Linked DNA regions of Arabidopsis thaliana. The protein of the gene in region 1 interacts with the protein of each later gene in a pairwise test. Each region holds a gene or a part of one and is shown in the gene's direction. Other genes may lie near its edges.

Evidence for each region. The genes of interacting proteins can lie anywhere in the genome.
Region 2: the proteins of MYB54 (region 1) and RGL3 interact in binary tests that used the Arabidopsis thaliana proteins (3 or more experiments, as listed by UniProt).
Region 3: the proteins of MYB54 (region 1) and AT2G20350 interact in binary tests that used the Arabidopsis thaliana proteins (3 or more experiments, as listed by UniProt).

What each region holds. Positions count from the first base shown.
Region 1 is NC_003070.9:27,599,760-27,603,821, forward strand, and holds MYB54 (myb domain protein 54), read left to right. Parts: upstream 1-1,833; 5' UTR 1,834-2,092; coding exon 2,093-2,213; intron 2,214-2,324; coding exon 2,325-2,756; coding exon of another isoform or gene 2,757-2,815; exon of another isoform or gene 2,816-3,100; coding exon 3,101-3,279; 3' UTR 3,280-3,558; downstream 3,559-4,062. Other genes in the region: AT1G73400 (Pentatricopeptide repeat (PPR) superfamily protein), read left to right, coding at 1-53. UniProt on the Arabidopsis thaliana protein: Transcription factor that regulates secondary cell wall (SCW) biosynthesis, especially in interfascicular and xylary fibers.
Region 2 is NC_003076.8:5,763,489-5,767,949, reverse strand, and holds RGL3 (RGA-like protein 3), read left to right. Parts: upstream 1-1,703; 5' UTR 1,704-2,062; coding exon 2,063-3,634; 3' UTR 3,635-3,961; downstream 3,962-4,461. Other genes in the region: AT5G17500 (Glycosyl hydrolase superfamily protein), read right to left, coding at 167-571. UniProt on the Arabidopsis thaliana protein: Probable transcriptional regulator that acts as a repressor of the gibberellin (GA) signaling pathway. No effect of the BOI proteins on its stability.
Region 3 is NC_003071.7:8,782,881-8,785,947, forward strand, and holds AT2G20350 (Integrase-type DNA-binding superfamily protein), read left to right. Parts: upstream 1-1,888; coding exon 1,889-2,174; intron 2,175-2,325; coding exon 2,326-2,516; 3' UTR 2,517-2,567; downstream 2,568-3,067.

The sequences.
Region 1 (4,062 bases):
GGCGTTTTGCACTCAGTGAGAAGAGAAAGAGTACAAAACTCAGAGGGAAGTAATGTGAACTGAAAACTGTTGGACCATATCATCATACTAAAACAAAGAACCATTTTCAGTGGTGCGATGATTCTGTTGCCTAGAGAGGAGCTCTTCGTGACTATGATCCCTGGTGAAATTTCATCCATCACAGTCTCTCTAATTCTGGACCAATAAGCATGGTTTCGAAAGCAAAGATACCTATCCAGGTCTATTGTCTAATGGTTATGTTGGTTTCTTTGAAAAGGCTCTCACAGCTCACAATATGTTTAACGTGTTCGTTTAAAGTCATTGTATTGACCATTGCATACATAGAGATAGAGCCGAACTTTGTATGATCCTTAGCAATGTGAGAGGCTTGTTTTCCTTATGGTTCATGACTATTATGGTTTATCTTCTGCTCTTGCTCTCTGATTCTCGAGTTTGATGTGAGATTCTTGAAACATTATGATGCTAGAACAGTGTCGGTTCATCGTTCAGTTCTGGTAACAGGTTCAAGTCTCAGGAACTCTTGCTGAAGAAGTCTAAAGACATGACACAGTTGGTCTGTCAGCCTTTGGTGATGAAGTACCCATACAGTTGTAAAATAAAAAGCCCACTGGTATATAATATTTGACCGGTTTAGTGTAATCAGGATCCGGTTTAGTTGAAATAGGTCATTTTGCGACGAAAATAGGTTAAGTTTAGTTATGATAGGTTCGAAAGTCGAAACTGAAGAAGGCTTCTCTCCTAACTACCGATAGAACAAATGAAGTTGATTATTGGCTTTCTTTCCCAACTAACTCTCTGTTTTATTTTATTTTCCTACTAAACTTTACCAGCAATTATTTTGGTTTTTGCTTACAGATTTTTTTTTTTTGAAGAAATGTTCTAATTAGTCCCACGGAACATTCAATGTAACTGATTCTGTTTTTAGTCCTGAATGTCCGAAACCTATAAAGTTCCGTTTTGGACAAGAGAGACGTGCTTGGAGACCAAATATTTGACCACCTTTTTTATTTGTTTACGACTAAAATGATTGACCACATGAGAATAAAATTTTTGCTAATATATTTCATCACTTGATTCAATTGTATACACCTTCTATTTTATTTACAGTTTATAAGAAAATACCCATTGTAAAATTGCAAAGAAAAAGTTAGTTGTATTGTCTCCACTTTGGACGATATATTCCTAATTAAGGCTTAGAAAAAACGTTGATTAGGTCTGAAAATATTTATCTTTAATTATTATGGACGATATTTGATACATGAAATAAATTTTTGTCAGTGTAGGATATCGATATTTATTATATGTGAATACGTAGCTTGCCAAGATTACAGAAACGTAGATGAGTATTGGTGGCTTGAAGTAGCGGGTGTAGGTTAGAACTTAGAAACAACAAACCTTAAATTAATACTATACGAAGAGACGTTGAGAGGCTAACGAAATCCTGCCCACACCAAGCAATCTCTAGTCTATGCTCTTATTTTCTACGATATTATATATTCTATAATTATTATAACTAAATAAAATCCTAGTTGTAAAATAAAGGAAAGAAAAAGGTAGATTACGTAGAAGGGGGTGTTTTGTTGGTTAGGGAAGACGTTGGCATCAGTCGCCGGTAGAGAGGTCCGTCCAAACCCTCCCGACTCTCTAACGGATTTTGTTTTATTTTATTTTAATTTTCATCATATAAAATGTATATATATATATATATATATATATTTTCTTTTGGTAAAGACATAAAATGTATATTAGACGAAAAAAAAGAAGAAGACATAAAATGTATATTATATATATACTCGCAATAATATAGACTATGTATATATATACGTGCAGGTGCTCTTCAGCTTTCTTCTTGTTCCCACATACCCATCTTCCCCAACCTTTTCCCAAGAAAAAAAAAACTTAGGGTTTTAATTTCTTATATATGTACATAAAATACATGAACACAACAAATTTTTTGCGTGCGTTATTGATATAGAATCTGTGTGTTTTTCTTTTTCTTTGTTCTTGTATTGGTTTGGATCGGTATACTTAGTTAATTACGTAATTAAATAGATCGGCGTGAAGAAGAAAAATGATCATGTGCAGCCGAGGCCATTGGAGACCAGCTGAAGACGAGAAGCTCAAGGATCTTGTCGAACAATACGGTCCTCACAATTGGAACGCCATTGCTCTCAAGCTTCCTGGTCGCTCTGGTAATTGATATCTTCTAGGGTTTGTCCATATATACAAAACTAGCTAGGGTTAATTTTGATACTTTGATATATATATACATATGAATTAATTGTATTGGTGTATATATGCAGGTAAGAGTTGTAGATTGAGATGGTTTAATCAATTGGATCCAAGGATCAACCGAAACCCTTTCACGGAAGAAGAAGAAGAAAGACTTTTAGCGGCTCATCGGATCCATGGGAACAGATGGTCCATCATCGCAAGGCTTTTCCCTGGAAGAACTGATAACGCCGTCAAGAACCATTGGCACGTCATCATGGCTCGTCGCACACGCCAAACCTCTAAGCCTCGTCTTCTTCCCTCGACGACTTCGTCTTCTTCTTTAATGGCGAGTGAACAAATCATGATGAGTTCTGGTGGTTATAATCATAATTATAGTTCCGATGATCGGAAGAAAATATTTCCAGCAGACTTTATAAATTTCCCTTACAAATTCTCTCATATCAATCATCTTCACTTCCTAAAGGAGTTTTTCACCGGAAAGATCGCTTTAAATCACAAAGGTAAACTCAAAATGATGGAGAAGGATCCATTTTCTATAGATGTGTTTGCATGTATATGAGTCTTGCACGGATTATTGATGAAAAAGGTATATATGTTCCAAAATTTTGAAATGAAGTTTAGCCGAATTTTTTTACTTTTCAAAGAGTTTAGCCGACTTTTTCATTTGCATAATCATTTTTCTAATGAACTTCAAAATTATGTGACAAAATTAGTTGCATGTTTTTTCTTGTACTCATCATCATATATTGTTTCCGTCATTACATGAAGTCATCTCTATATATTTAACATAGTTGCAATCCACATAGCTTATAATTTCGTCCTTCTTTTATCGTTTGGATCGCAGCAAATCAGAGTAAAAAGCCTATGGAGTTCTACAATTTTCTACAAGTAAACACAGATTCAAACAAGAGCGAGATTATAGATCAAGATTCAGGTCAAAGCAAACGCAGTGACTCGGACACCAAACATGAAAGTCATGTTCCATTCTTCGACTTTTTATCCGTTGGAAACTCTGCCTCCTAGGATTAGTTTTTTTGCAGTAACTCCTAAATTTCTAGATTAACTATTTAGTCCGTATACGTACGAGATTATCTAGGTCGTTAGCATGTATGCTTGATGTGTATAATCACTAACTAGTGAGCTATTACCTGCGAAAATTGTAAGAAAAATACATAATGTTGATGTATCACACATTCTCAATGTCTGTAAAATTTCCATCGAGTTGTTAACTATCAAAGTTATCCGTTTGAATGTATTTGTTTAATTTGTCTTGAATGAGATGAATAACATGTTTAAATGTTTAATTCTGTTACCAACAATTTAATTATATATATATAACGATTAATTGCTAGTTTGTTTCTTATTAAATTTGTATCATATTTATTCAACGTTCAAACAAATCACCGTTCAATTGTTTATGCATAACCCGATCATGAACTCGACCTCGAGAGGCCACAATATTATCAAAATTTGAAAGTATATATGTACAGTTGAAATCTTATATCGTTGAGATTATAACATGAAAAAAATCCAATGTTTGATGAAGAAGCAAAAGGTGTTGGAAAACTCTTTTTACTTCTTACTTTCCTTAATCGTTTTCTTACAACAACACAACCATTATGTAGTTCTTGTACTTAATCTAATTAGAAATTTGTTAATAACCAAGACCCACCCTTAATTGGGCCTTGTTCACCTCTGGGCCCAATGGCCTTTTTCTCTCTTTTCCTTCACTCTTCTTCTTCTTCTTCTTCTTCTTCTTCTTCTTCTTCTTCTTCTTCTTCCTCGTGCATACCTTGCTGTAGTTCC
Region 2 (4,461 bases), on another chromosome or scaffold:
ATCATTATTGCAATATAAGATAAAACATGTTTTAGTCATATTTTTCAGTCACAAATGACTTATTTAAAAACCATGGATTTTTAATTGAACATGAAAAGAATAGTTTTTGTTTGAGTTGAAGAAATTATGTAATACTAGAATCACATGATTAATTATGTATTTATACCTGAAAGACATTGATGAGAGGAGTATTGACAATGTATGGATTGTGAGTGTAAATCCCTTGAAGCTCATGATCCAATCCATATCTCTCAAATGATTGTTTCACGGTAACATTAAAGGCTAAAGTGTCATTAATCATTAATTCAAGTGGCCAAGTGAGCCTAACACAATTGAATCCCATGTCTTTTATCTTTTTCGATATTGAATCCATTGGCTGGCTGCTCAGCCCCTCTGCTACCACTGGCTTGAGGTGCGAAGGCCAGTTCGCGCAAGCTAGCTTCACGCGGTGGCCCTTGTTGTTTACGATCCATCGAGACTTTGTGAATAGTGGATAATCTGTTGCTAGGGTTAGAGATATTAATGACAAGAATAAGAACAAAAAGACAGTTAAAGCGATTGCTTTTGCCATGCTTATTTCGTTGTGACTGTGTTTTAGGAAGATCATTAAGTATATATAGAGAGTGAAATCAAGGGTTTTTGTCACAATGATAGGGGATTTGTTGAGTTTCTTTTGTAAGATAATTGACTAAATATTTCAGGGTTGGTTACTTAGTTTGATGATAGGTTTCAAAATGTAAATAAATGAGATATTTACGGAACATTGTGGATAAATATCTTCTTACCACACGTTTTGGATAGTGTAGTTTTTTTTATTGTTCGAATAATTAAGAGGATAATTAGTCAATGGATCATCCGCCTAAAATGTCGAGAAAGTAACTTGGGTAACATTTCAAAACGTATCCGGCCATTAAATAGTCTCGTCATTTATTTGTTTCCCTCAAAATTGCCAATATATCAACGAACGAAGGGTAATATACTAATATATTTAGCTTGTGTATTCATTCGCTAAGTCATATAAAATTACTCGAAACTTTATTTTATACAGGATTATACATTATTTTCACAAAACGGAAAATAATAAGCCATTTGTACTTAGACCAACAAACTAATTCAAGAGTGAAATCTATTTTTATGTTCAGTTCTACTCTATTATAAAAATCTTCTATATATGTAACTATCATGTTTAAAATGATGTTTTTGGTATGGGGAATAAAATTCAATTTACACACATAAAGAAATGAAAACATAATAATAATAAGAAAGCAACGTAATGTTGTAGACGTCTGATACCTAATGTCGACTGCCGCCACATGTCGACCGTGAGGTTGGTCACGTTGTCTCCCTAACTGCAATACTTTGAGCTGTACTTCTATCGGGACCTCTATTTTCTTCTCAAACTTTTTTAAAAATTAGTATTATTTTATACCATTTCGGCAAACAAATTATTAGGAGATAGTATCATTTAAAAAAATAAATATCAAATTTTGTCAGTAAAATTATTACAGTATGTCACGTTAACTAGTTAAAATTTTGTTATAGAAACAAGATACTTGAAGAAAACGGGCTGTTACTTTCGGAGTTTACAAGTTCCATTTCTCGAGAAGAACTATTTGGGTTATCAATATAGGTCATATGATATGACTAATATCTACTGCAGCACCCAATTTAATAATTCTAGAAACTCTAAATTCAACATTTAGTGGGTATTAAAAAATAGTTTAATAGACTATGACAGTCCATTGGACCATTAAACAAAAACTACACGCCCTTATCAGAGCGACGAATTTTTTGTAACTTGGATCAGAAATTCAATAAAGTTATAGTAATAAAAATGAAATAATTTGGAAAAGAAAGAATAGAGAAGAAAACACATGCGAAATTATAATGGCCTGCCTCTCTTCCTTCTTATCTCTTTTACTTACACTCTCCAGGTCCCTCACTTCCCTCATTGGACCTCTCTAACTCTCCTCTCTTACCTTCTCCTGTTTAAATTCTTCTCCTTTCTTTCCACAATTTCTGTCTAACCAATTCCAACACCAAAAAATTCCATTTCTTGACGATGAAACGAAGCCATCAAGAAACGTCTGTAGAAGAAGAAGCTCCTTCAATGGTGGAGAAGTTAGAAAATGGTTGTGGTGGTGGTGGAGACGATAACATGGACGAGTTTCTTGCTGTTTTGGGTTACAAGGTTCGATCTTCAGACATGGCAGATGTTGCACAGAAGCTTGAACAGCTTGAAATGGTCTTGTCCAATGATATTGCCTCTTCTAGTAATGCCTTCAATGACACCGTTCATTACAATCCTTCTGATCTCTCCGGTTGGGCTCAGAGCATGCTCTCGGATCTTAATTACTACCCGGATCTTGACCCGAACCGGATTTGCGATCTGAGACCAATCACAGACGACGATGAGTGTTGCAGTAGCAATAGTAACAGCAACAAGAGGATTCGACTCGGTCCTTGGTGTGACTCAGTGACCAGCGAGTCAACTCGTTCCGTGGTGCTTATCGAGGAGACAGGAGTTAGACTCGTTCAGGCGCTAGTGGCCTGCGCCGAGGCGGTTCAGCTGGAGAATCTGAGCCTCGCGGATGCTCTCGTCAAGCGCGTGGGATTACTCGCGGCTTCTCAAGCCGGAGCCATGGGGAAAGTCGCTACCTACTTCGCCGAAGCCCTAGCTCGTCGAATTTACCGGATTCATCCTTCCGCCGCCGCCATTGATCCTTCCTTCGAAGAGATTCTTCAGATGAACTTCTACGACTCGTGTCCCTACCTGAAATTCGCTCATTTCACGGCCAATCAGGCGATTCTAGAAGCTGTTACGACGTCGCGTGTCGTACACGTAATCGATCTAGGGCTTAATCAAGGTATGCAATGGCCGGCGTTAATGCAAGCCTTAGCTCTCCGACCCGGTGGTCCACCGTCGTTTCGTCTCACCGGCGTTGGGAATCCGTCGAATCGAGAAGGGATTCAAGAGTTAGGTTGGAAGCTAGCTCAGCTGGCTCAAGCCATCGGCGTCGAATTCAAATTCAATGGTCTAACGACGGAGAGGTTATCCGATTTAGAACCGGATATGTTCGAGACCCGAACCGAATCGGAGACTCTAGTGGTTAATTCGGTTTTCGAGCTTCACCCGGTTTTATCCCAACCCGGTTCGATCGAAAAGCTGTTAGCGACGGTTAAGGCGGTTAAACCGGGTCTCGTAACAGTGGTGGAACAAGAAGCGAACCATAACGGTGACGTTTTCTTAGACCGGTTTAACGAAGCGCTTCACTATTACTCGAGCTTGTTCGACTCGCTCGAAGATGGTGTTGTGATACCGAGTCAAGACCGAGTCATGTCGGAGGTTTACTTAGGGAGACAGATATTGAACTTGGTGGCGACGGAAGGAAGCGATAGGATCGAGCGACACGAGACGCTGGCTCAGTGGCGAAAACGTATGGGATCCGCCGGGTTTGACCCGGTTAACCTCGGATCAGACGCGTTTAAGCAAGCGAGTTTGCTATTGGCGTTATCTGGCGGTGGAGATGGATACAGAGTGGAGGAGAACGACGGAAGCCTAATGCTTGCGTGGCAAACGAAACCTCTAATCGCTGCATCGGCGTGGAAACTAGCGGCGGAGTTGCGGCGGTAGATACGTCGTCATAAAGAGGAGAAGAAAAAAGACTTAGCGAACGTGACCTTATGTTTTTATTTTACTTTAACTTACCCCAGTAGTTTCGTTTTGTGACAATTTCGCCCGAAATATTCCGTGCCTTATACTTTTGGGACCCAGTTGGTTCGTTGGTCGTGGAGATTCGAGAACGAGGAACATGTGTGTATGTAACAACAGCACGAGCAAGTGTTTTCATAGTTTGAATAAATATGAAAGAAATGACGTTTATTTTATTTTTTGTCAACGAATTGACGTTACGTTTAATTTCACCCAAAATATATACAAAATGACGCATGAATGAATTTGGACCGACTCGATTATTACATAGAGGCTAACGTTTCTGGGAGATGATGATGATGATAGAAGTAAAGAAGCTAAACCTCACTTGAGTCTTTTTATTCTGAAAAGCCGGAGTCCAAACTCTACTTTTGGGTTTTTTGAGAGGTTTTCATTGTCAGCTTTTGATCAAGTGGGTGAAACCGTTTTGCTTAGGAATGTGTAAAAGAAAACTTGATATTTACTACTAATTTTATCACCACTTTTGAAAAATACATGTATTCATAGAAAGATATGATAAAGTTGGACCACATTCTCATTCTCTAAACTCACTTTAAACATGGCAATGTTTAAATATCCTCAAGTCTTGGAACATCTTCAGACTTACCATTTCTTGATTTTACCCGTAACAACACTTCAATATCTGAGTAGTCAAGACTAAACAATCCGAACAATATCAGCTTTTGATTTTATATAAATATAACTATATAAGACTTCCTAACAAAGAGGAACATGAGTCCCACAGCCAC
Region 3 (3,067 bases), on another chromosome or scaffold:
GTTTCATTTTTTTAGGGTGAATGTAGCCGTCAAATTACTTATTCACCACGTTTTCTAGTGGGGTTCGACGGATTAACTGGAATAATTTAGTAAATTTTACGTTTGAAATGATTCGATCCATATATTAAACCTACAAAAAATTTCTCCTCAGTGAAAACCACTACCGCTTGGTTGCTTTTTTAAAAAAAAAAATCTTGTATAAACAATTTCATAGGTAAAATTGAAGCGATCGATACAGAAATCGCTAAGAACAAAGCATGAATATTTTGTCATCTATAAATGACTTGCTCAAGAAGACCAATACCATACAGAGCTTTTATTTGAGACATAAAGAAAGTTTATGATATATAGAAACGAAAAGGAGATGATGGTATGCAACAACCACTATATATACAAAGAACCTCATCAATAGTAATTTGTAGGGTTTCTTGTTTTTTGTCGTATCCTCGTATCCGAGTCCAATCTGTGTATTCCGCTTCGAAAACTCTTTTTGTGTTGGTTTCTTATTTAGTCAATGATATAGTATTCTAGAAAGTCAAGATCACACATGTGAAGTCAAGAGCAAAAAGGAATGCACGTGTGTGTTTTGAGCTGGCAACTTGACATTGACGGTGATCATTATTAACGTTTACTTTCTTTACCTTTTAGTATAAAAAGCAACATGTTATGTTCATGCTTTCTTATGCGAATAATCTGGTTGTATTTTATTTCTAGAGACTTCTAGATTTCCCTCATCGTTTTACCGAAGCTCTTTCGTCGAGACTCTTGTAGGTGAGAAGTTGATATCGCGTTTTATGAACGTTATATCAAATTATCGTAATAGGAATACTCTGTTTCGGTTCTCTGCATTTTTACTTTGTTTTACTCATTATTCTGTTTACGTTATCATCAGTGAAACATGAAATTGAAAGCAATTAACTGTCTCATTTTAGTTAACTAAATTTGTCTTGAACTGTATATAATTAAATCAAAGAAAAAAAATACAAAATATGAAAGTGATGACCGGGGATATTCAAAGGGAGACTCTCATAACAACTTGGTATATGAATAAAGACTTAAAGCACTGGAATATGAGTACCTTGTTTCCTTAATTATTGACTCACTGTTTGTACAGAAACCAAAACCAGCACTGCAAATGAAATATATCTTAACAGAACAGAAATAACCCCCAAAAATATTTCAAAAAGCTCGAAAACATATGGTTCCATTTTGTATAGCGTTGCACAATGTAATGCTAAATCAAAAGAGTAGATTAGATATATAAGATAGAAAAAAAAAAGAGCAAAAAGGATAGAACAAAGTATTATAGATAGAATGTCATTGGGCAAAATTAATCCAAGGACTGATACATACAAGTATACAACCATCGTATTAACCTATGAAAAAGTATTGCAAAATATAAAATGATTTTTAAAACAATGAAATTACACCTATCCAATTGTTACGAATGAAACTCAACTTTTAAACACTAAAAAAATGTGTATATTTGCAGTCCAGATTACAAAATAAACCATTATATAATAGGATCCAACTGTATTTTGACTTAAATAAGGTAGTTGAAAATATCTTGACTAAGAAGTATATTTGGTTTACTCGGTGTCAAGACTAATAATAATTAGTAAGTAGTGTATCGAATAAATATAGCAATCGCTTTTGCAGAAAATAAATATCTACTGAACAGATGTATCGTTCTCAAAGGAAAAAAACAACACTAATTGGTGCCGCGTATCTAAAGATTTGCATGGGACCATATGTCTAGTAGTCTAGTACCATATAAACCTTTTTTTGCTTACTCGTCAGTAGTTTCTTTTGAAATCTTCACAACACTTTCAACACTTCTCAGTGACCGTGAGCAACGAATTATTTTCAGTTCAACGACTCCGCGGAAATGGAAAATTCAGAAAATGTTCCCTCTTACGATCAAAACATCAATTTCACTCCTAATTTGACGAGAGATCAAGAACATGTGATCATGGTCTCTGCTTTGCAACAAGTAATATCCAACGTCGGAGGTGACACGAACTCGAATGCATGGGAAGCTGATCTTCCACCTTTGAACGCTGGCCCTTGTCCTCTTTGTAGTGTCACCGGCTGCTACGGTTGCGTCTTCCCACGACACGAGGCGATAATTAAGAAGGAGAAGAAGCACAAAGGAGTGAGGAAAAAACCATCAGGTAAGTTCTATTCTAATACAAGCTTTGAGTTTTTCTAGTACTAGCTAGTTTTAGTTCATGTATTTTCATATATATATAAGCCACGAGCCCATGAGGTAAACTATGTTCCAATACGTTAGCATGCAGTTGATGTACTTTCATAAACCATCAGGTAAATGGGCGGCGGAGATATGGGATCCGAGTTTGAAAGTAAGGAGATGGCTTGGAACGTTTCCAACAGCGGAGATGGCGGCTAAGGCTTACAACGATGCGGCGGCTGAGTTTGTCGGAAGAAGATCAGCAAGACGTGGCACAAAGAACGGAGAGGAAGCATCTACCAAGAAGACGACTGAGAAAAATTAACGGAGAAGGAGCACGTATAGAAAGGCAGGAAGAGGCATCTTACTTGCTTCACAAGTAAATCAGAATTTTTTTGAAAAGTAAAAACGTTATTTTGTTTGGTAATAAAATAAAGTAAAACAAAATATTGCTAACGCAAGACTTATCAAGTTCAGTCGTGACTGTGAGTGTGTTTTTATGTATCTTACTTCATTTTTTGTCTTTCAATTGTGTGTGTGTGTGTGTTTTTTTTTTTTTTTATAATCTATTTGGTTTGGGTTTATTGTGACCAATGACAAGAAAAGTCTATATTTTATAGTTAGACGTATTATATATATCATGAGATAATATACAAGCAAACACAATTGTAAGCATATATAAAAATCAATCAAGTTGTTATGATATTTATGATAACTTTAAACTTTGATTAACAAGAAAGGTAATCCAATAGTAATATTTGTCATACGGTGCCGTTTCACTAATAAATGGGCTTACGTAATACGGACCAACACAAAGTGACGTGGTTTCATTTTAAAGGTGTTACTTATCGTCGCCAATGAGATATTGTCAAGGCC